Tribolium castaneum: one gene and its partner. The protein of the gene in region 1 interacts with the protein of each later gene in a pairwise test. Links are inferred from orthologs where the notes say so. Each region holds a gene or a part of one and is shown in the gene's direction. Other genes may lie near its edges.

What was found.
Region 2: the proteins of ck (region 1) and Cad99C interact in binary tests that used the Drosophila melanogaster proteins (3 or more experiments, as listed by UniProt). The link is inferred for Tribolium castaneum from reciprocal best matches to the Drosophila melanogaster genes ck and Cad99C.

The regions. Positions count from the first base shown.
Region 1 is NC_087398.1:4,867,735-4,877,794, forward strand, and holds the start of ck (myosin-VIIa), read left to right. Parts: upstream 1-770; 5' UTR 771-1,245; intron 1,246-5,173; exon of another isoform or gene 5,174-5,324; intron 5,325-5,378; 5' UTR 5,379-5,399; coding exon 5,400-5,417; intron 5,418-5,481; exon of another isoform or gene 5,482-5,583; intron 5,584-6,782; coding exon 6,783-7,043; intron 7,044-7,092; coding exon 7,093-7,656; intron 7,657-7,704; coding exon 7,705-10,060. UniProt on the Drosophila melanogaster protein: Myosins are actin-based motor molecules with ATPase activity. Unconventional myosins serve in intracellular movements: can function in cells as a single-molecule cargo transporter.
Region 2 is NC_087400.1:3,732,794-3,742,853, reverse strand, and holds part of Cad99C (cadherin-99C), read left to right. Parts: intron 1-3,416; coding exon 3,417-3,482; intron 3,483-3,559; coding exon 3,560-3,738; intron 3,739-4,301; coding exon 4,302-4,424; intron 4,425-4,474; coding exon 4,475-4,723; intron 4,724-4,775; coding exon 4,776-4,925; intron 4,926-4,974; coding exon 4,975-5,193; intron 5,194-5,548; coding exon 5,549-5,743; intron 5,744-5,795; coding exon 5,796-6,401; intron 6,402-7,080; coding exon 7,081-7,221; intron 7,222-7,272; coding exon 7,273-7,557; intron 7,558-7,826; coding exon 7,827-8,000; intron 8,001-8,049; coding exon 8,050-8,508; intron 8,509-8,555; coding exon 8,556-8,805; intron 8,806-8,855; coding exon 8,856-10,060. UniProt on the Drosophila melanogaster protein: Cadherin that functions in epithelial morphogenesis and the intestine epithelial immune response. Essential for female fertility. Regulates the length and organization of apical microvilli in developing follicle cells and salivary glands.

The DNA.
Region 1 (10,060 bases):
AACATTACAACAATGAAGAGATATGCCGTATGTATATTGTAATTGTTTGAAATTAGACAACAAATAGGTAAAGTAGGGTAAATTTATTTATTTATTCAATTTTTTAACTCTTCAGTTTGATTAACTGTTACCTAATGAATTAACGTTGCCATACAAGTAAAAATCGCATAAATAAAAACGAAAATTGCAACATTAGATATAATCTTTATCACTTTACAGTTATCCGTTGGAATTTTACGAAATTCTCAATAATTTGAGACTGAGTCGTAATTAGAGTCCAACTTTTTGCTAAATTATCGTCGAATAAATCTTTTATTCGCATTTTACAATGCAACTTTTTGGGTTTAACAATTTTTGAGGTCCGGTTGAACTTTCTCTGAGTGGGCGATAATTTTTATCAAAGATCACAAAGTAAAGAAACATTTTTTAAAAATGGAAATTTAGTGAACAAAGAGAAAAGACGTAAAAAAGACAAAGCGTTGAAAAACAGGCACAATTCTAATAAAATAGTTCATTATAGTTCAAAACTGGGCATAATATTAGTTGTGGATTTAAACATTGTTACTACATTCATTAGAATTAATGTTAAACTGACCGAAAAAAGTTTTAATACATTCATCTTCAATCAATAAAATCCTTAACTTTTTTCGAACACTTATCTGTTCGCCGTTATCTAATAGTTTGAGCGCACATCGTTAGAGGGTGCGACCTATTAGAAGTCCCGACTTCCTAACCGCCTCCCTGACATAAGTATCCCATCAGCCAAATTTTTCCCCACTCTGGTCTCACTTCAAAGCGAATAAATCTTTCGCCTTTTACTAAAGATTTCCGTGGAGTGGGACAATACAAATGAGTCTATGACAATTTTTTGAGGCCCGGTTGGAGTTTCTCCGACTGGGCGATAATTAAACAAAGCATAGAGCCCCCCAACCATTACTCAAACTTCAAATTGACTCAAAATTTTGAGTGGAGGATGACTCACATCGTCATTGAGGTAGTCGAACCCGTGACATTGCCCGTGGTGCCCTCTACAGTCACCTGCCTCCTCCTCAACTTCCACACCTGTCCGTCGATGGCGCTGCCTCACCTGGGCGCAAGCAATTAAAGTAACAGAAACTTGACCATTTGGTGATAGTTGAGTGCGGCGGAACGTTAGTACCGGGACCTGATGAGGTGTTAGTGTCGCGTTGTGTGTCCTCTTCAAATTACCCAACATTATGTTAAGGATTACATTGTAAAACCCAGGTAAAGTCCCAACTTCTTTCCACGTCGCGCTTCTTTACGGCCAGAGGCATCTTCACGCTCTACCATCCTCCGGAAAGAAGTCGAGGAAAGCGAGTTCGCGATGGAAATCCGATGGCTTAGGGATTGGGAACAGGTGTCGGCTCAGATAACAAGTTTTTTATGATGAGATGTTAGACATTCTTCGGATTTACCGGTACTTTGCCTTAAGTCCACACACATTCCGCTATTCTCTTCTTGGACGCCGTGTCTTGTAAATACTGTTATCTATATGGTTTATCATTGTTTAATGCAAACAATTACTGTATGTACAGTAAGCTGTTTTGTAAGCGGTCACGTGGACGGGGCAGATCCGGGTAATTTGGGCAAGGAATTTGCCGGGGTTCGATACGCCTACTTTACCTAGCGTGAGCCACAGGTAATTTACCTGAACCCACTGTTGCCATTCCAGTCAAATTTCTGCTAAATAAACGCCAATAGGACATTAATCGCTTCGCGGAGATAATTACCATCGAAATTGTTTGTATTAACACCGTGACAATCATTGGCACAACAATGGCTTTTATTAGTACCATTCTTCGTGGTACTTCATTTTTTAGTGCTTCCTTACGTGTTTTTCCAGTTTAGATTAAATAATAAGAAAGGATGGATTAAATTTAACCCAAACAATAAAAGTACAAAACAAAATAAAAAATAAAAACACATTGGTACTACTTTAAGACAAAATAAACAAGAAATGAGAAAACTCATTACGGTGTACACTCACCATCAAAAGAAATGGCGAAGGTGTGGCCTTGCATCTTAAACCGTGTGTTAAAAAAGGACTATTTCATTTTTTCCCTGTACTGGGACTATAATAACAAATAATAAAAAATGTAGATTACTTGACAAGGGTCAAAGTAATCGCGAATTGAATTTGAGTAAATAAATCTGGATCTAGCGATATTTTTTTATGTATTTTTTGCACAAAACAATGTTAAAATATCGTTTTACAATGTGGATAGAAATAGTTTTTTTGGGTGTTAGTTATAGTAGTTATTATATTCAAAAATGGTTGTTCATCAAGTCACCTATGAAATTTGAGCGTAATGTGCCGCTTAATTTAAATTTTGAATGCCGTATCCAAGTGACAGCTCCGTCAAAATGATCCAAAAAGGCTTCGAATCCTAAAACGAAAGAATACACAACAACAAAAAACACCGAAATAAAAAAAAATAAAAAAAGTTATGAGTCCTAATGACCGTGGACAACGGATACAATTTCTTCAAAAAATTTTTTATCAATTTCTGGCGTTTTTGGCAGTATAGATAATTATAATATAATGATAGATTAGTAATAAATGAATGAATTAATATTATCTAATTTTGGGAAATAATTTGTATAATTATTATTACAGTACTTAACTTCTTCAAAAATATGTAACGGCATTACTGATTAAAGGCTAGGCATTTATTGGAATTAGAAAAAATATACCCTTATAAGAAATTGTAAAAGTGCACAGAAAACACCAAAAAATATAATACAAGAAACAAAAAAAAGATTTATTTTAATACCTATTTTCCTATTGATTTCTTCATTTTATTGTGTCAGTTAATTATTGACTTTTAATTAAATGTTAAAAAAACAAAAGAAGGCTGTGGAATTTCTTTTGACATACCTATCCCATCCAAAGCACCAGCGCATTTTTAAAAAAGAAACAGGTCATAGTAGGCAGCTGTCACTTTTCCACGGGTGGGCTGATCTTATTATGATAATTTCTGACAGTTACGAAAAACAGAACTTGGATAATTGATAATGTGAACGAATTTTTGTATTTAAAATCATTCTCGTGTCGTTTATTAAATTGAAACGGAATGTAGCAGAAGATATTTCTGTTATTTGCCGGTGACAATCTAATTAAGTTAATCAGCTCATAGCTAACTGAGACTATACCTACCGTGCCTATAAATTAATTGCAGAAGATTTTTAAAGTTCCCGACTTTCACAATACTTCTAGAATGTCACAATTTGCGCTTATCAACAGCCACGAGACACAAGCTCCATTGATACAAACAAATATAAATAAAGTGTATAGAAAGTCCGTTTTACATTGCAAATTTAAATTATTATTGGAGTTGATAAATTTTCTTATAATCTACTAGACACGAGATTTCTCTCTTATTCTATAAGTAGGATATTGTAGTCTGTGATTTCCTTGACAAAAAATGGAACCATATCGCCACCTGACGAAACATCGTAATAAATGTAACGTTATTGTTGTAAACTTGTAAATTAACTGTAAAGTTTTAATGATGAAATGAGACACCTCTGATAAGAAAATGGTAAATTGGTTTAAAAACTTAACACTTCAACAGCATTTTTGCCATTCCTTGACCGTCACCATGACAAGAAATAAATTTTTATAGACACAGTTAATTAAGCGTCACTCGTCAATACGCTTTATTAGTTGGCTGTGTTAATTTGACATTTAAAGGTCACCGCGACTTGATGCATTTCTTATTTTAGGAAAATTCTCTCATCGCTGGGGAAAACATGCACGAAATTGTTGTTTGATTTGAATAAAAGTGGAGAAAGTGTCAAAATTTTGCAATTTGTGTGAATTACAATCCTTTCGAATGTAAATTTCGACCCATTTTGAACCTTTCTTTTTGACACTCTCTGTATAAATCGCCAACTTTGCAGACGAAATTTCCCAACTGCATTGCGAATTTTCGCGGAAGCCATATGCCAGCGAACGCACTATATACAGAGTGGTGCTGGATGACCGTTATGATTCGACTTTCGTCAATTGTTCATTTGTGACCTTAATTTAATTATGTCGATGTTAATCGAAAACGGTGTCTAAACCGCTCATCTCTCACGCTGTCCAAAATTAACAATGAAACCGAAACACACTACTCCAGATTGTACCTTACGTAAACATTACACGTTTTCCATATCTAAGCATTTTTTAATGAATGGAACAATGAGAATTTTCCTTTTTTTCGCGAGAGATGAGCCATTGTATGCAATGAAATGTGGATCAGTGTACAGTGTGTTAAAGTAGAAAGTAGAAAAAAGTAGGCGTGGAGATGCCGCGTGGCTTGCTTGATCTTTCGCGATGTATAGCCGTCTAGATCAAAGGTCGTAGACTCGGCAACCTTGACATTGTACGCTATGTTTCTTCATAAAAGAATAATGTACAAGATGAGTCAGCTTTCGGACTATTTATTTACAAATAAATCGGAAAAAAATCGTTCGTAATCAAAAATGCCCCTAATTTTGCCTTGACGCAAGTGGTGGCCTCAATCATCTTTGATGTGAAATATGAGTATGAATGGAGCCATTACCTTCTAATCAACTTTCACTCGAGGTTTACCTAAATTTGATAAAAATAATTGCAGGGGGCTTGAGGTCGTTGCCAATTGTGGGCGTTTCAAGGCCAAATTTGCAATTTAATCGATATTTGTTGACTTATATTATGTCATATGTCTATTCCCTGAATAAAAATTTTGAATCAAAAGTATTTTTTACTTAATTTAAATCGCTTATCGCTGAATCACCCTGTACATGACCATAAATAATCGTGAGCAATCGATTACGTCTACCACATTTACACAAGCTTCTCAGTATGAAAAAACTTGAGGACAAATAAATAAAGAGTGAACATTAGACAAAAAACAAGTGAAAGAATCTACTATTGTTAGAAAACCGAACAAAACGTGGCCTTCACAGCGCCAAGTAGGCGTAAAAACGGTACATTTCTACCAAACCGAATTACTCAAAAACAAAAAGCCCTAATGGTGGCTTTATCTCCCTGTTATTTCCGCCAAATGCAATTTTCTTGTCGAAGGATGAGCCAAGGTTGACAAATTACAATATTGTAGTTGGATGTAATTTTGCAAAAAACACGCGATTCGCTCCATTTTCCGCCACTTTTCCCATCGAGAAACCGAAAGTCGCGTTTGCAACAATGCACCAGTCGAAAGCCTTGGATTATGGACACAAAAGCCGGTTTTGCAAAATGTCGTAACGATAATTCAACTATTAATTGACTTTCTTGCGCTATCGACCGTTCGTCAATCGATCAAAATCGCTAAAATGTGCCTCTTATCACACGATGAATTCAATTAAATTAACAAAAGGTTTCGTTGCAGGAACATTGATGCGTCGCCACCATGGTTATAGTGACACGGGTAAGTGGTTTCGTTTTATTAATAATAATTATTGTTTTTACTGGAGTTTCTCTCCTGGCGAAAGTCGCGATGACTCGTCTAGACTTGGCGTTTATCGGCCATTGATACCCCGATTAAAGGGGCGAAAACCTCCGGAAGTGCCACAAAGAGACAAAAGTTTCATATAGTACGTATCTCCCCGATACCACGACCATCAAACCATGAAGACTCACTTCCTGTATCCGATTTCCTCTCTTGTATTGTTTGCATAATTTAGAGAGTGACCGATGGGCCGCTGTGGCCTAGATTGGGGTCACTTTTTTGCAAAAACCGCACTGTCAAGGTTGGGCAATCGCAAACAAGGATTTGATTTGTTTGGACACACTTCTCGATTGGATTGAGACGTCGGGCACACAGTGGCGGGCTCAAAATTTATTAGGAAATGATATTTAAACCGGACCTAAAGGCGGAACTCGAGGAAAAGCATTATTATTCAGACGGAGCCATAAAATTTTGAAAATTTACGAGTGTGGTGATGTCTGTAAAATTAATTTATGGCTGACTATGACAGCATTATTGTGTTGCGTTACAGTGTCGAACACACCTAATGATTAACGGGTTTTATCATGTCAACAATGCTTGGATCTTCAAATTGTTTAAATTTTTAGATAAGCCTCCGATAAATCTACTCGTAATCTCACTGTAATTCTAAAAATAAAACGTATTCTAAGTAAAATAAAACACAAATGACAAATTAAAGAGTTTTATTTATCAGGGAGTGTTAAAAACTAAAGGAAGAACCGTGTGATTACGTTCAAGTCCCGACTTGTCCCTAATTTGGCGTTCAAACACGCCACTGGCGAACCCGTGACGTTGCAATTCCGCTTTGCTCAATCAAGTTTCTTTGTTCATTGAAGTGAAGAATGGTCATTGCAGCTGTTTTCTTAACCAACTTTCAATTCTTCCGGTCCTTGAAACTCTTCAAGAAGAGTCGAAACGGGCACACTTACGTGCTCCTCATACCAACAGCACGAACGGTTTTGCGCCGTTTTTCTGACCCCTTGGCACATTTCTCAAATATTTTTCGATAAGAGCCAACTTCCGCGCCATTAATCACTCGTGGCACGGAGGAAATGCATTGATTATCATCACCAGAGATGAAACTGGTGCAGGTGACCGTTAGGAAATTGTCAATTTTCGAATTCGGTACGAGTTATTGAACCTGAGAGGTCACCGAGGTTCTCACAGCGAGGCACCGAATTTATTAATCATTAAGTCTCTATCTAATGGTTTTTATTAAATCCCAGCCCAGCAATTACGTGGAACGTGCAGCAAGCCTGCAATTAATTTAATCACGTTGAACAGGTGTGTGAATTGTGATTCTAGGGTGATTACATCTGGATCGAGCCCATTTCTGGAAATGAATTCGACGTGGCCATCGGTGCCAAGGTGGTCTCCGCCGAGGGGCGAAGGATCGCCGTCCGGGACGATGACGGGGAGGAGCACTGGCTGTCTCCAGATCGCCGAATTAAGGCAATGCACGCAACGTCCATCCACGGGGTCGAAGACATGATCGGGCTGGGCGACCTCCACGAGGCCGGGATTCTCAGGAACTTGCATATCAGATACAACGAAAATCTCATTTATGTAAGCCTCCCAAAAAACGAGAAATAGCCGGAAAAAACTATTTTTCCAGACTTACACTGGCTCGATTCTGGTCGCCGTCAACCCGTACCAAGTCCTCCCCATTTACACCGCCGAACAGATAAAACTGTACAAGGAGCGCAAAATCGGGGAACTACCCCCACATATTTTCGCCATCGGTGATAACTGCTACGGGAACATGCGGCGTTATGGCCAGGACCAGTGCGTGGTCATTTCTGGGGAGTCAGGGGCCGGTAAAACAGAGAGCACGAAGTTGATTCTCCAGTACTTGGCGGCTATCAGCGGCAAACATTCCTGGATTGAGCAACAAATCCTGGAAGCTAACCCCATTTTGGAAGCTTTCGGTAACGCGAAGACAGTCCGGAACGACAACAGCTCAAGATTCGGCAAATACATTGATATTCATTTCAACAGTAGCGGGGTTATTGAAGGTGCCAAAATCGAGCAGTACTTGCTCGAGAAAAGCCGGATTGTGTCCCAGAATCCGGACGAGAGGAACTACCACGTTTTCTATTGCCTGTTGGCCGGGCTGGGCAAGGAGGAGAAGAAGAAACTCGAATTGGGCGATGCTAGTCAATTTAGATATCTCACGGGGGTACGCACTTATTGTTTTGTGTTTATTTATTTATTATTAATTTTTTAGGGCGGTTGTATAACGTGCGAGGGCCGGGACGACGCTGCCGAGTTCGCCGACATCCGCAGCGCCATGAAAGTGCTCCTCTTCTCCGACCCGGAGATCTGGGAAATAATGAAACTCCTAGCCGCACTCCTCCACATTGGCAACATTAAATACAAAGCCACGGTGGTGGACAACTTGGACGCGACGGAAATCCCGGACCCGACCAACGTCCACCGCGTTGCCCACCTGCTGGGGGTGCCCCCACAGCCGCTCATCGACGCCCTCACCAGGAAAACGCTCTTCGCCCACGGGGAAACCGTAGTCTCGACCTTATCCCGCGAGCAGAGCGTCGACGTCCGCGACGCCTTCGTTAAAGGCATCTACGGGCGGCTCTTCGTCCACATAGTCAAAAAAATCAACAGTGCAATATACAGGCCGAAGGAACGGCAGAGGAGTTCGATCGGTGTTTTAGACATTTTCGGGTTTGAGAATTTTAATCATAATAGTTTCGAACAGTTTTGTATCAATTTCGCGAACGAGAATCTCCAGCAGTTTTTCGTCAGGCATATCTTTAAATTGGAGCAGGAGGAGTACAACAACGAGGGGATCAACTGGCAACATATCGAATTCGTGGACAATCAGGACTCGCTGGACTTGATTGCGGTCAAACAACTCAATATCATGGCGCTGATCGATGAAGAGAGCAAGTTCCCGAAAGGCACTGACCAGACCATGCTGGCCAAGTTGCACAAAACACACGGAACGCACCGAAACTACCTCAAACCGAAATCGGACATCAACACAAGCTTCGGTTTGAACCACTTCGCCGGGATCGTCTTCTACGACACGCGGAGTTTCCTGGAGAAGAACCGGGACACCTTCAGTGCCGACCTGCTCCAGCTAGTGGCAATCTCTAACAATAAATTCCTGCAACAAATATTCGCCGACGACATTGGCATGGGGTCGGAGACCAGGAAAAGAACCCCGACACTCTCAACCCAATTCAAGAAAAGTCTCGACTCACTTATGCGAACCTTATCCAACTGCCAACCGTTTTTCATACGGTGTATCAAACCAAACGAATTTAAAAAACCCATGATGTTCGACCGCAATTTGTGCTGTCGCCAGTTACGCTACTCCGGCATGATGGAAACAATCCGGATACGAAGAGCCGGCTATCCGATCCGGCACAGCTTCAGCGAGTTTGTCGAACGATACAGGTTTCTAATCTCGGGGATTCCCCCGGCCCATCGAACCGACTGCCGGGCCGCCACTGCCAAAATATGCGCCGCGGTTTTGGGCCGTTCGGACTACCAGCTCGGCCACACGAAAGTGTTTCTCAAGGACGCCCACGATTTATTTTTGGAGCAGGAACGCGATAGAGTCCTTACGAAAAAAATCCTGATTTTGCAACGCTCAATCCGGGGCTGGGTCTACCGGAGGCGCTTCCTGCGCCTCAAAGCGGCCACCATGATAATACAAAAGTACTGGAAGGGCTACATCCAGAGACAGAGGTACAAACGGATGCGCGTGGGTTACATGCGACTGCAAGCACTGATCAGGGCTCGGGTGCTTTCGCACCGCTTCCAGCATTTGCGGGGTCACATTGTGGGGCTGCAAGCCCACGCTCGGGGCTATCTCGTGCGGCGGGAATACGGCCACAAAATGTGGGCCATCATTAAAATACAGTCACACGTGCGCCGAATGATAGCCCAGCGCAAGTTCAAGAAAATCAAATTTGAGAGGCGAAGCCACGTTGAGGCTTTAAGATTGAAGAAAAAGGAAGAACGCGAGTTGAAAGATGCCGGGAATAAAAGAGCGAAAGAGATAGCCGAGCAAAACTACCGCGAGCGAATGTACGAACTGGAGAGGAAAGAAATGGAGTTGGAGATGGAGGAGCGACGACGTGTTGAAGTCAAGAAGAATTTAATCAACGACGCGGCCCGAAAAGCCGACGAGCCCGTTGATGACTCGAAGCTAGTCGAAGCCATGTTTGACTTCCTCCCGGACAGTTCCAGCGAGGCCCCAACTCCGGGCCGCGAGACCTCGGTTTTCAATGACTTGCCCTCCCAGCCTGCGGAGTCCGAGATCATAAGCCCCATGCAGACACAGTCGGAAGATGAGGAGGATTTGTCCGAATTCAAGTTCCAAAAATTCGCTGCGACCTACTTCCAAGGCAACGTGGGTCACCAATACTCGCGCAAGCCGCTGAAACACCCACTTTTGCCTTTGCACACGCAAGGAGACCAACTCGCCGCGCAGGCGCTCTGGGTCACGATCCTCCGCTTCACCGGGGATTTACCCGAGCCCAGGTACCACACCATGGACCGCGACAACACCTCCGTAATGTCCAAAGTGACGGCCACTTTAGGCCGCAATT
Region 2 (10,060 bases), on another chromosome or scaffold:
GACGAAATAGTATGTAAAAACGTGCATTTCTGCAGTTATCACAATAAATGAGAGTACTATCAAACCTAGAAACTGTATGGCAAAAATCGAGTTCAAACGTCTAGAAATACGGATCAAGGATTTGTGTAGTAGTACCACACGACTACGGACACCATTTTCAAACAGTTTATTAATAATTTTGAACCGTTCCTCAATGATTATTGCAAATTGATAAAATGTCATAGTCATAGTACTTATCAATAGTTTGGGGTAAATGTTGGAAATGCAGTACCCAAACTTTCCGTGTGGCATATGCCACACTGGGTATGCTTCCAACACTACGTTTAACCCAACATTTGTGACAATTATCAATTTGATAATGGTTCTATGGTGGCGATAACTAGCTTTAGCCAGGTACTTTTCAAACCCTAACTCCACCAAACTCTTATCAATTGTCTCAATATCATGTGCAAGCTTTACCAAGTTTTTGTAATACTTAACGTGTGCTAGTACTAGTACTACTATTGTGAAAACTGATCCAATAATTCGACAAATTGTGACAATTTTGAGCACCCGCCATAGTGCAAATTTCGATGGACGTGTCACAAATTGTGCAAAATCGAGCAGATAGTACCCGAAAATTGATAAATATAGTACTGTTATCAAAAGCTTGCGTTTCGCCCCGAAATAAACACCAAGGATTTGAAACATGAAAGTAGTCGGGAAGGTGATTTGTTGTATTGATAAGGTTTTCATCATGATTGATAAGCTTGTACTGACTCGAAAGTGTTTATTGATTAGTGGAATAAATTAATTTGAGGTTGTTTACGCTTTCGCTGATCAATAACCGTCCACAAAATGAACGAAATCTTGAAACCTTTACACGTCGCGACTGATATTTTAGGTATCAACGTCTACAAGGTCACGCCAAAAGGTCTCATATACTCAAAATTGAAAATTTTACGTGTGGTACTATATCAAACCGTGTGGTTTATATCAACTTGTAGTTTTATTAAGAATTATCAGTTTTTGAACGTTGCTAGGGCTAGTGCTATAACACTAGTAGTGTTTACACGTGTGTTTCTTTGGGGTTTGAACATGATGGCGATCTTGTACCTCATGTTGTTCCGAAATGGAAAAATGATTTTGATTCGCCAAAAACTATCAGAAATTGATAACAAGTTAGAGGCTCTAGGGCTGAAAGAACGCCTGTCAAACCTGGCCCAGAGACACAAAAAAACCTTAACTGTCCTAATCCTCATTGAAATTTTTGCCCTAAACCTATCATCTGAAATTGTGACCCATATCTTGCTCGAAAGAAACGATTTTTTCGCTTCGTTCGTCGTTCTTCAGTACTCTCGTCTTTTTAGTACAACCTTTTTAACATATTTTTTGATACAGACTTTGATAGTCCAGAAACGCTTCGAATTGATAAACGAACTGTTCCAAAAGGGGAACAAGACCATACTTTGGCACTTGGTCTCGTGTCACTTGAAACTACAACGTTTGGTCAAAATTTTGAATTCGATGTTTGACCTCCAGATTTTGATAACTGTGACCTTTTATTTCGCCCAAACGGTACTAGATTTATACACCGGTATCACAGTTGCCCTTTTTGAAACCAATAAAGGGATTTTTGTCTTTATTGCACTCAAAAACGCATTACAAAACATAATAGAACTATTCTACTTGACTAGGAGATGTAGCGAGTTGTGTATCCAGGTACGACTATCAATTTGATAACTGTAATTATCACAATAGTGTTTTAGGCGAATTTAGCCAAAAAACTAGTACTAGACTTTGAGATTGATATTCAAGACGAGGAAAAACGAAATTTTGTAAGTTTTTTGATAATCGTGCGTTTTATCAAACTTTGATAGATTGTAGCTTCTGGCTTGAAACTATCAAATAACAAGTTGGAAATAACAGCATTACGAATGTTCAGTATTAATTATTCGTTACTCCATTCGGTAAGGTTTCAACAATCAAGGATTGATAATTATCAAAGTGATAGCTTTGTAGTGCCGTTTTCACGTACATATGTGTGATGCTCCAGTTTGATAATAAAATACCGAAAGTATCAATAAAGAGTTGAGTTTGTGCCTTGTGTTTTGCTCCCAATATCGAGTTGCAACATTATGAACAAGTAGGAGGAGGCAGCTCCGCATATCTAAAACCTGTTATTGAATTATCAATTATCAAAAGTTGGAAAGTACCGAAAAAAGTAGCGCATTATCAATGCTAAACAAGCGACAAGCCGTGATTTCGAGCTTATTTTGCATAAGTTTAAGTACCGAAGTGACGACCTAAACAAATGACGGACCATATTATCAAACTTTGATAGTGGTACTTACAACATTGCGTTCCTCCTCTTGATCAATATCAATTTTAAGACCAACAAGTAGTATTTTAGTCTTATTAGCTTCGTTGCAAAGATCACTCGCTCGTTTTGATAGATAGAACAAATCGAAAACATAAGTAACACAGTTTTTTCCCATATCAAGCACGATTTTGTGGTGTTGATAGAACATATCAAAGAAAATGATGTAGATAGAAGTGTGCAAATCACCAATCAACAACACGAAGTTCATACTGGTACACATAAGTACCTGGAATGCGAAAATTCCATTGATTTCCCTAACCACCTTAACCAAAATTTTGTGCAGATTGAACAGTTTTTTGATAGTGGTACTAGTAACATCCCCACGTGTGATAATGTTATTTATCATCTCAAACCTAGTCTGTATTAGCAAAAATATCAAATTGAGGGTACTATTCATAATCCCGATGATAAGTCTTGGGTACCAATTGACCAGGAAGATCAATATTTGATCCTGGCAGCGTACCCAAGCACTGAACACTTCGCCACAAGTGTTAAAAATCAAATTAACTAGTACCATGAGTAGTATTAAGTGTTTCTGGACCACAGAATTAGGTATATCAAGGTCACAACCCATTTGCTTCAATTGGTTATCAACCTCGTGCACTTGGCGCATTTGTTCCAATTTTTTGGTAAAGTACATTTGGGAAAAAAATAGGTTGAGTACCATCATGGTGGTACTGCCCAAGTCGCGGAACATTGTCAAAAATTTAATGGTTTCAGCTTTGGTAAAGTCGCTAGTTTCGCCAAAACTGGTCGAGTAGATGATAGTAAGGGCGATGTTAGTGAGTACTAGAATGGTACTAGGTACTAGACGGATACGTGATAGTACTATTTGCCCGTTTTTGGTCGTAAAGGGCGAAATTCCGAGATAGAGCGAGTATTTGGCGATTGGTTTAATAATGTTTACGTAAATAGCCGAATTTTCGAAGCTCTGTAACAGAAAATTGAAGTTTATTTTTGCAATTTTGTTGCTTCGCACCTCCATCTTTGCTAGTTGTGTGTGAAGAAGTGTAATCGATTCGTTCGTGCCACTAATTAATTAATTGTGTTTCAGGGTTGTGTGAAGTGGACTCGGGTCAATCGAACATAATCCTGGACATTGAAGAAAGTCGCGGAAAATGTGAGTGTTTTGCAATTAATTTGTGCAAATCAGCGGTTTTGCAAGTGTTACGCTTATCTGATTTTTGCGCATTTCAGCAATTAGCCAAGAGACCGTTCCTGCAGAGTTACCAATTGTTGGCGAGCCAAATGTCGATATTTTCCTCGATTTGGCGTTTCCCAAAGGGCCTGCGCTTTTTTTTCTCAATGGGAAAAAGCTGCAATTGTTGGCGCCGTTAGATCGAGACGAAAACAGTCTCTCGCATATTGTTTTTCAGGTAGTACCCAGTTAATTTGCAAAGAGAGTGAAAGGTACTACCGTTACGGGAGCGATTATTTAAGCTTGTTTCGTGACAGAAATTAACGAGAAAGTATTGTTCGGCGGTTAAGGAAGAAAGGAAAAAATTTGTTCAAGGTTGGCGTGAAGTGTAGCAAATATGCGAAGGTTTTAAGAGAGCGGAAGGTGTGGGCGGGTTGAGTGACATTTGATTATTTGGGTACCACCACAAAAATATAAAAATATAATTATTTTTTAAATTTGGTAGTAGTACCACATTATAGCACTGTAATTAAAGTGGTACCACCTTCAAATAAAGTGCTATATTGTGATATTTGTTAAATATTGGTACTACATTTTCTGAGAGAAGGTCAAAATAACAAGCAATTTGCTTCTTTTGCTGATATTATTACTAAAATTAGTTACATTTTTCAAAAAAAATTAAGGTACGACTTGGTACCATTTCGGGGCCATTGACTGAAACGAGCAAATCACTCTCGAACGCAAACTACTGGCAATTATAACAATAATTATGCATAATTTACCAAGTGGTACTCTTTTTAGTTAATTTGCACAATTAAATCGACTCACAAGAAACGAACTGTACCAGTAATTGTAAGACTGAGTGATATTAACGATAATGCACCAGAATTCGTCAACACGCCGTACGAGACGAGTATATCGGAGGTAATTATCGCAAAAAAAATAATGGTACCACTTACTGGTACTTGTTGTAGCTCACACCTGTGGGTACCACAATCTTCCAAGACATTTTAGCCAAAGATAAAGACGCCGGCGTCAATGGTTTAGTCGAGTATTCGATCGTAAAAGGCGAGAATTTAGCGCACGAGGACGACGATCGAATCCACAGCGAAGATGGCTTCGGGTACTTTGCCATCAATTTACCACATCAGGGTCAAGTTACGGTTAATAGAACTCTAGACTTTGAGAAGACGCAGAGATATTACGTCACCGTCGTGGCGACGGTAAGTAACCAGTTTTGGCGAGTAGTACCACTGGTACCATTTTGGGTTCCAGGACCGGGCGCACGATGACACACAACGACTTTCGTCAACAACGACACTCGTAGTCAATATTAAAGATGACGATGATCAGAACCCTTCTTTCATATACAAAGGGTGCATGCTTTTGGATGGTACCTGCATCAATCCTGAATATTCAGCTTCGGTACCATTCAATTATTTGCAATTTTTTTTGTTTAATTTTTTTGTAATAGGTTTCAAGTGGGGTTCTTCACGGAATACTTAATATTTCACCCGAAAAAATCCAAGCGGTGGACATGGATACGATCAATTCGCCCATTCACTACTCGTTTGTGAGTGGTACTCCTGAATCGTACTCTGAGTACTTTCAAATTGATTCGGAAACGGGTGCCGTGAGGCAAATCAAAGCCGTGGACACTTCAACCACCAAACAATTCAACATCATAATCAAGGTGGGCATTGTTTCAAATGGTACCAAACTTAGTAGTACCACAATTTTGTTTTTTTTTTAACAAAATTCTTTGATATACCTATGTTTCGGCCAGAATTTAGTGTTTTCCAATAGTATACATAATTTTTAGTTTTGGTACCACTGTTTGGTACTTATAGCAAAAATCCTTATTGAAAGTTGCATTAAAGCATATGTGATCGCATTTTTTCGGCCAACTTTGCGTGCATCTTAATTACTCTTGTAATTTATTTCAAGCCGTCAATATTTGCGTTTTTATTCCCCGATATGAAGCTTATTACACGTAATTTCCCCCAATTACAAGCACAAAACTGGGTCAAACTTTGATTTTTCCTCAGGCACAAGAAATATCCGAAGCAAAACGTTCAACAACAGCGAAACTTTTCATTACTGTTAAACCAGTCGATGCAAATCCTCCTGAAATAGAATTGTCATCAACCGAAGGCTATGTCAACGAAAATTCCCCAATTGGGGAAAAAGTACTCGACTCTGAAGGGGTACCACTTCTCATATCAGTGACTGATAAGGATTTTGTAAGTTATATCAAAGTGGTACCAAAAAAATTGACTCCCTGAATTGTTTTAGGGCCCAAATGACCCCAAACCCTCTTACACGTTCGAACTAACGACCCCTTTTTTCACAATTGATAAAATGGGGTACTTGCTAGTCAACGAAAACAATTTAGACCGTGATCCTCCAAACCCTGGCCGTTTTAAATTCCAGATTGTTGCACGTGAAAAAGGTGGTACCGCTGCAAGTGCCCCCATGTCTGTGACCGTTCACTTGAACGATGTCAATGATAACGCCCCCATGTTGCCTATTATAGCCCCAGTGGGGGTTCCCGCCGGGGATGTGAAACGCCAAGTCGCCACAATCAAAGCTACAGATAATGATGAAGGCGATAACGCATTAGTTACATACTCAATTTATCACGTCTCGAATAATGGAAATAACAAGTTCCGGATTGACCCCAATACGGGGGTACTTGAGACGGTGGGGAAATTAAATGCAGGGGATCAGTACAGTTTGACTGTTCAAGCCACTGATAAAGGAGGGCTTTATTCACAAGCCATCGTTGAAGTGACCATAAGTCCAGGACCTAATACACAAAGTCCCATTTTTGAACAGTCGGTTTACGAAATTGAGGTCAGCGAAGGGGCTACGATTAACTCGACTGTGGCCACAATTACGGTAAGTGCGGAATTTTACCAGGATTCCAAATCTGTAAACGGAATTTTGATACAATGAGTACTTTTTGAGATATTGCAAAATTTTTGAAAAAAAATTTTGGACGAATTAAGACCCAAATTGCAAAATTATTGTTATTTTTGGGTTTACGAAGCCCAAATAGTACCAGGATCCCAAATCTGTAAACGAAATTTTGCTACGGTTAGTAGTATGAGATATAGATTTTTTTTGAGTAAGTCCATTGCTCGAATTAAGGCCCAAATTGCAAAATCTCTCTTATATTCTAATTCACGAAACTTAAAATAGAAATTTTGCCAAGATTTCAAACTTGGATATTAAATTTTGCTACGTTTAGTATTTTTTAAGATATGGTACTACCTTTGAAAATTTTTGAGCAAGCTTATTACAGCCCAAATAGCAAAATCGCAGTTAAATTTGTGTTAACAAAATTCTAAATAGTGCCAGGATTCCAAATCTTTTATACAAAATTTAGCTATGATTAGTACTTTCCGAGATATAGTTTTTTTGAGTGAGTCCATTGGACGAATTAAGGCCCAAATTGCAAAATCATTGGCATATTCGGGCCCAAGAAGTTCAAAACAGTCCGCTAGGACGCATGGATACGATACCAAAACATTTCAAGTGGACCAAAATCTGGTCACTTTAATGGTCATTTTTTTAGGCCATGGACCCCGAAAACGACCCTGTGACCTACTCCATAGTCTCAGGAAACGATCTGAGACAATTTTCAATTGGTGCCAAATCAGGTGTGATCACAGTTATCCGAAAATTGGATCGTGAGGACTTGACTAGATACAAACTTGTAGGTTTTTTGTTTTTTTTTTGATATTTTTCACTATTTGGTACTTTTCAGATTATTAAGGCTGAAGATGCGGGTAAATTATCATCAACAGCTACTGTTAATATCAAGGTGACTGATATAAATGACAAGAATCCCGAATTTGTGGGCGATCCGTACAATTTTTCGGTGAAAGAAGGGCTAAATAGTACCTCGGTAGGGTTTGTAAAGGCTACGGATGCCGATGAGGGTATTAATGCCCTTGTTACGTACTCTATTCCCTCTGGTTTGCCCTTTGATATTGATAACGAGACCGGCGAGATAAGGACTAACCGAGCCCTGGATTACGAAACACAAAAGGTACCACCATCAAACTATGGTACCTATTATTTGGTACTATTGTAATATTTTAATTCAGAAGTACATTAGGTTACTAGAACACAAATCCTAAACCAAAATAGATAACTTTGTAGTACCTACTACAAACTATCGTATTATAGCTTTTTTACAGAAGTACCAAGTAGGTACTATATGTGGTAGTAGAACACTAGTTATAAAACACGATTGATATTTTCTAGTACAATCGTGATAGATCTAGTAGAATAGTTAAAAAACTGGTACCATTGCAGAACTACCAGTTTGTGGTGACGGCCAAAGATGGCGCCCCTGACCCACGTCTAGCCACCGCCACTGTCTCCATCTCCGTCATAGACATTGAAGACGAACTTCCAATTTTCACAAAATCGTTATACACAGCGTCAGTACCCGAAAACATTCCCGATTATTTCATCACCGACGTTAAGGTACTCACCTCCAGATCATTACAGTACTCTCCAAGTACTATACTTCCAGGCTGAAGACCCCGACACTATAAAAAAAATCACCTATGTCATCCATCAAGGTCCAACTGACCTTTTCCGTATTGACGAAAACAGTGGTGCTGTTTATACAATACGTGGTTTGGACTACGAGAAAGACAGTCAACATGTCCTTACCATTGGTACTCTCGAAAATATGTCGAATGAGGAAGGTAGTACCACCAAAGTGATTATCAATGTCGAGGACAGGAATGATATACCGCCGGTTTTTACCATCATACCGCACCCAATCACTCTTGATGATGACGTGGCGATTGGTACTCCTGTCACTAATTTAGTGGCGACGGACTCCGATGGTACCGCACCCGGGAATAAGGTTCGGTACGAGATTATAGGACGTGGCAAGGCCACCAAGTACTTCCAAATTGACTCTGATACAGGAATTTTAAAAGTAACCAACGATCTCAAGAAAGAAATTGATACGGAATATCAGGTACCACCACCAAGTGGTGCCAAAAATCGCTCAATTGTGTTTTTTAGGTGGACGTCCGTGCCTATGATTTAGGGGAACCACAATTATCATCAGTTATCACTTTGGATATTTACATCCAACATGTGGCAACGGTCGCTCCTGAAGTTGGTTTGAAATTTGCCGATACGTCGTACCATGTGCAAGTACCCGAAAATGCGACAAGTGGTACCAAAGTTAAAACACTGACCATTGTTAATAGTCGCACCCATGGTGGCAATATCCCACTCAAGTGTCTCATTATTTCGGGAAATGAGCAAAGTACCGGTGGTACCTTTTTTGTAATTAGGTTTTTGACTAAAAAATTGTAGGGAAATTCATTGTCAATGTGACCGAAGACAGGAATTGCGCCCTTTATTTGAATGGTACCATCGATTTTGAAACAGACGAGTCGTACCAACTTGAAGTCCAAATCATGTCACTCCAAGGGTTCATTAATAAGGAGTTCAGTATCACTCTAGTGACCATTAATGTGGTCGATGTTAATGACAATGTCCCTTATTTCATTTTCCCCTCTGGTGGTACCCACAAGTACCACGCCGCTATCACTGACAATTCTCCTCTTTCGACAACAGTAACGCAAATCAAGGCTGACGATAAAGACAGTGGAAAGTACGGAAAGTTGGAGTTTTCGCTCGACAAAACCGAGTACTTCACTATAGATTCAAGTACCGGCATTGTCAAGACCAGGAAGACTTTTGACGATGTTGATAATAGTGAATTACCATTTAAATTGATTGTCAAAACACGTGATAACCCGAACGCCACTGAATACAACGAAATCAAAGCACCCTTTATTGTTAATTTGATAACAAAAGACAATCGCTTGGTACTAGTGATCGGAGACGCTAAACCTGACATAGTCCAGAAAAAACTACCCTTGATTATCGACATAATGCAAGAACAGACGGGTTTAATAGTTGGGGTGGAAAAACTGGCCACGAGAGAGTTTATTGGTACCAATGGTACTCTCGAGACTGATCCTTCAGGTACCGACGTTTGGTTCTATGTCATTGATCCAACTACCGAAAAAATTCTCCCACGGAATAGTACTCTAGTCAAACGCGCGATTTTCGACAAACAAGCCATGGATAACATAACGTTTGATATAACAGGCCAGATCCAGAACACTGCCTTCCACATACACGAACCTTTGGTACTACAAAAAATTAAAAGTGCCTCCATAGCTTCCTTCAACGGTGAGGTGTTTCCGTACGCTTTGATCATCATCGCGTGCATTATTTTCGTCCTTGGAATCGTTGGGATTATTTATATTTGCGTGTCTTGGTCGAGGTACAAGTCCTACAAAGACCAAATGCAAAGACAGTATGTAGTACCAGCAAGTCCCACAAGGTACGACACTGTTTATGTTGAGCCGAACTTGAAAGAGTACGAAACACAAGTGTTACAAATGTGCGTTCCTGTGGACGAACAAGACGACTACAACGACCTGCACCTCGATTTTAGTAACAAGAACCACGCCTTCAGTCTTGACAATGTAAGTTATATCAGTAAG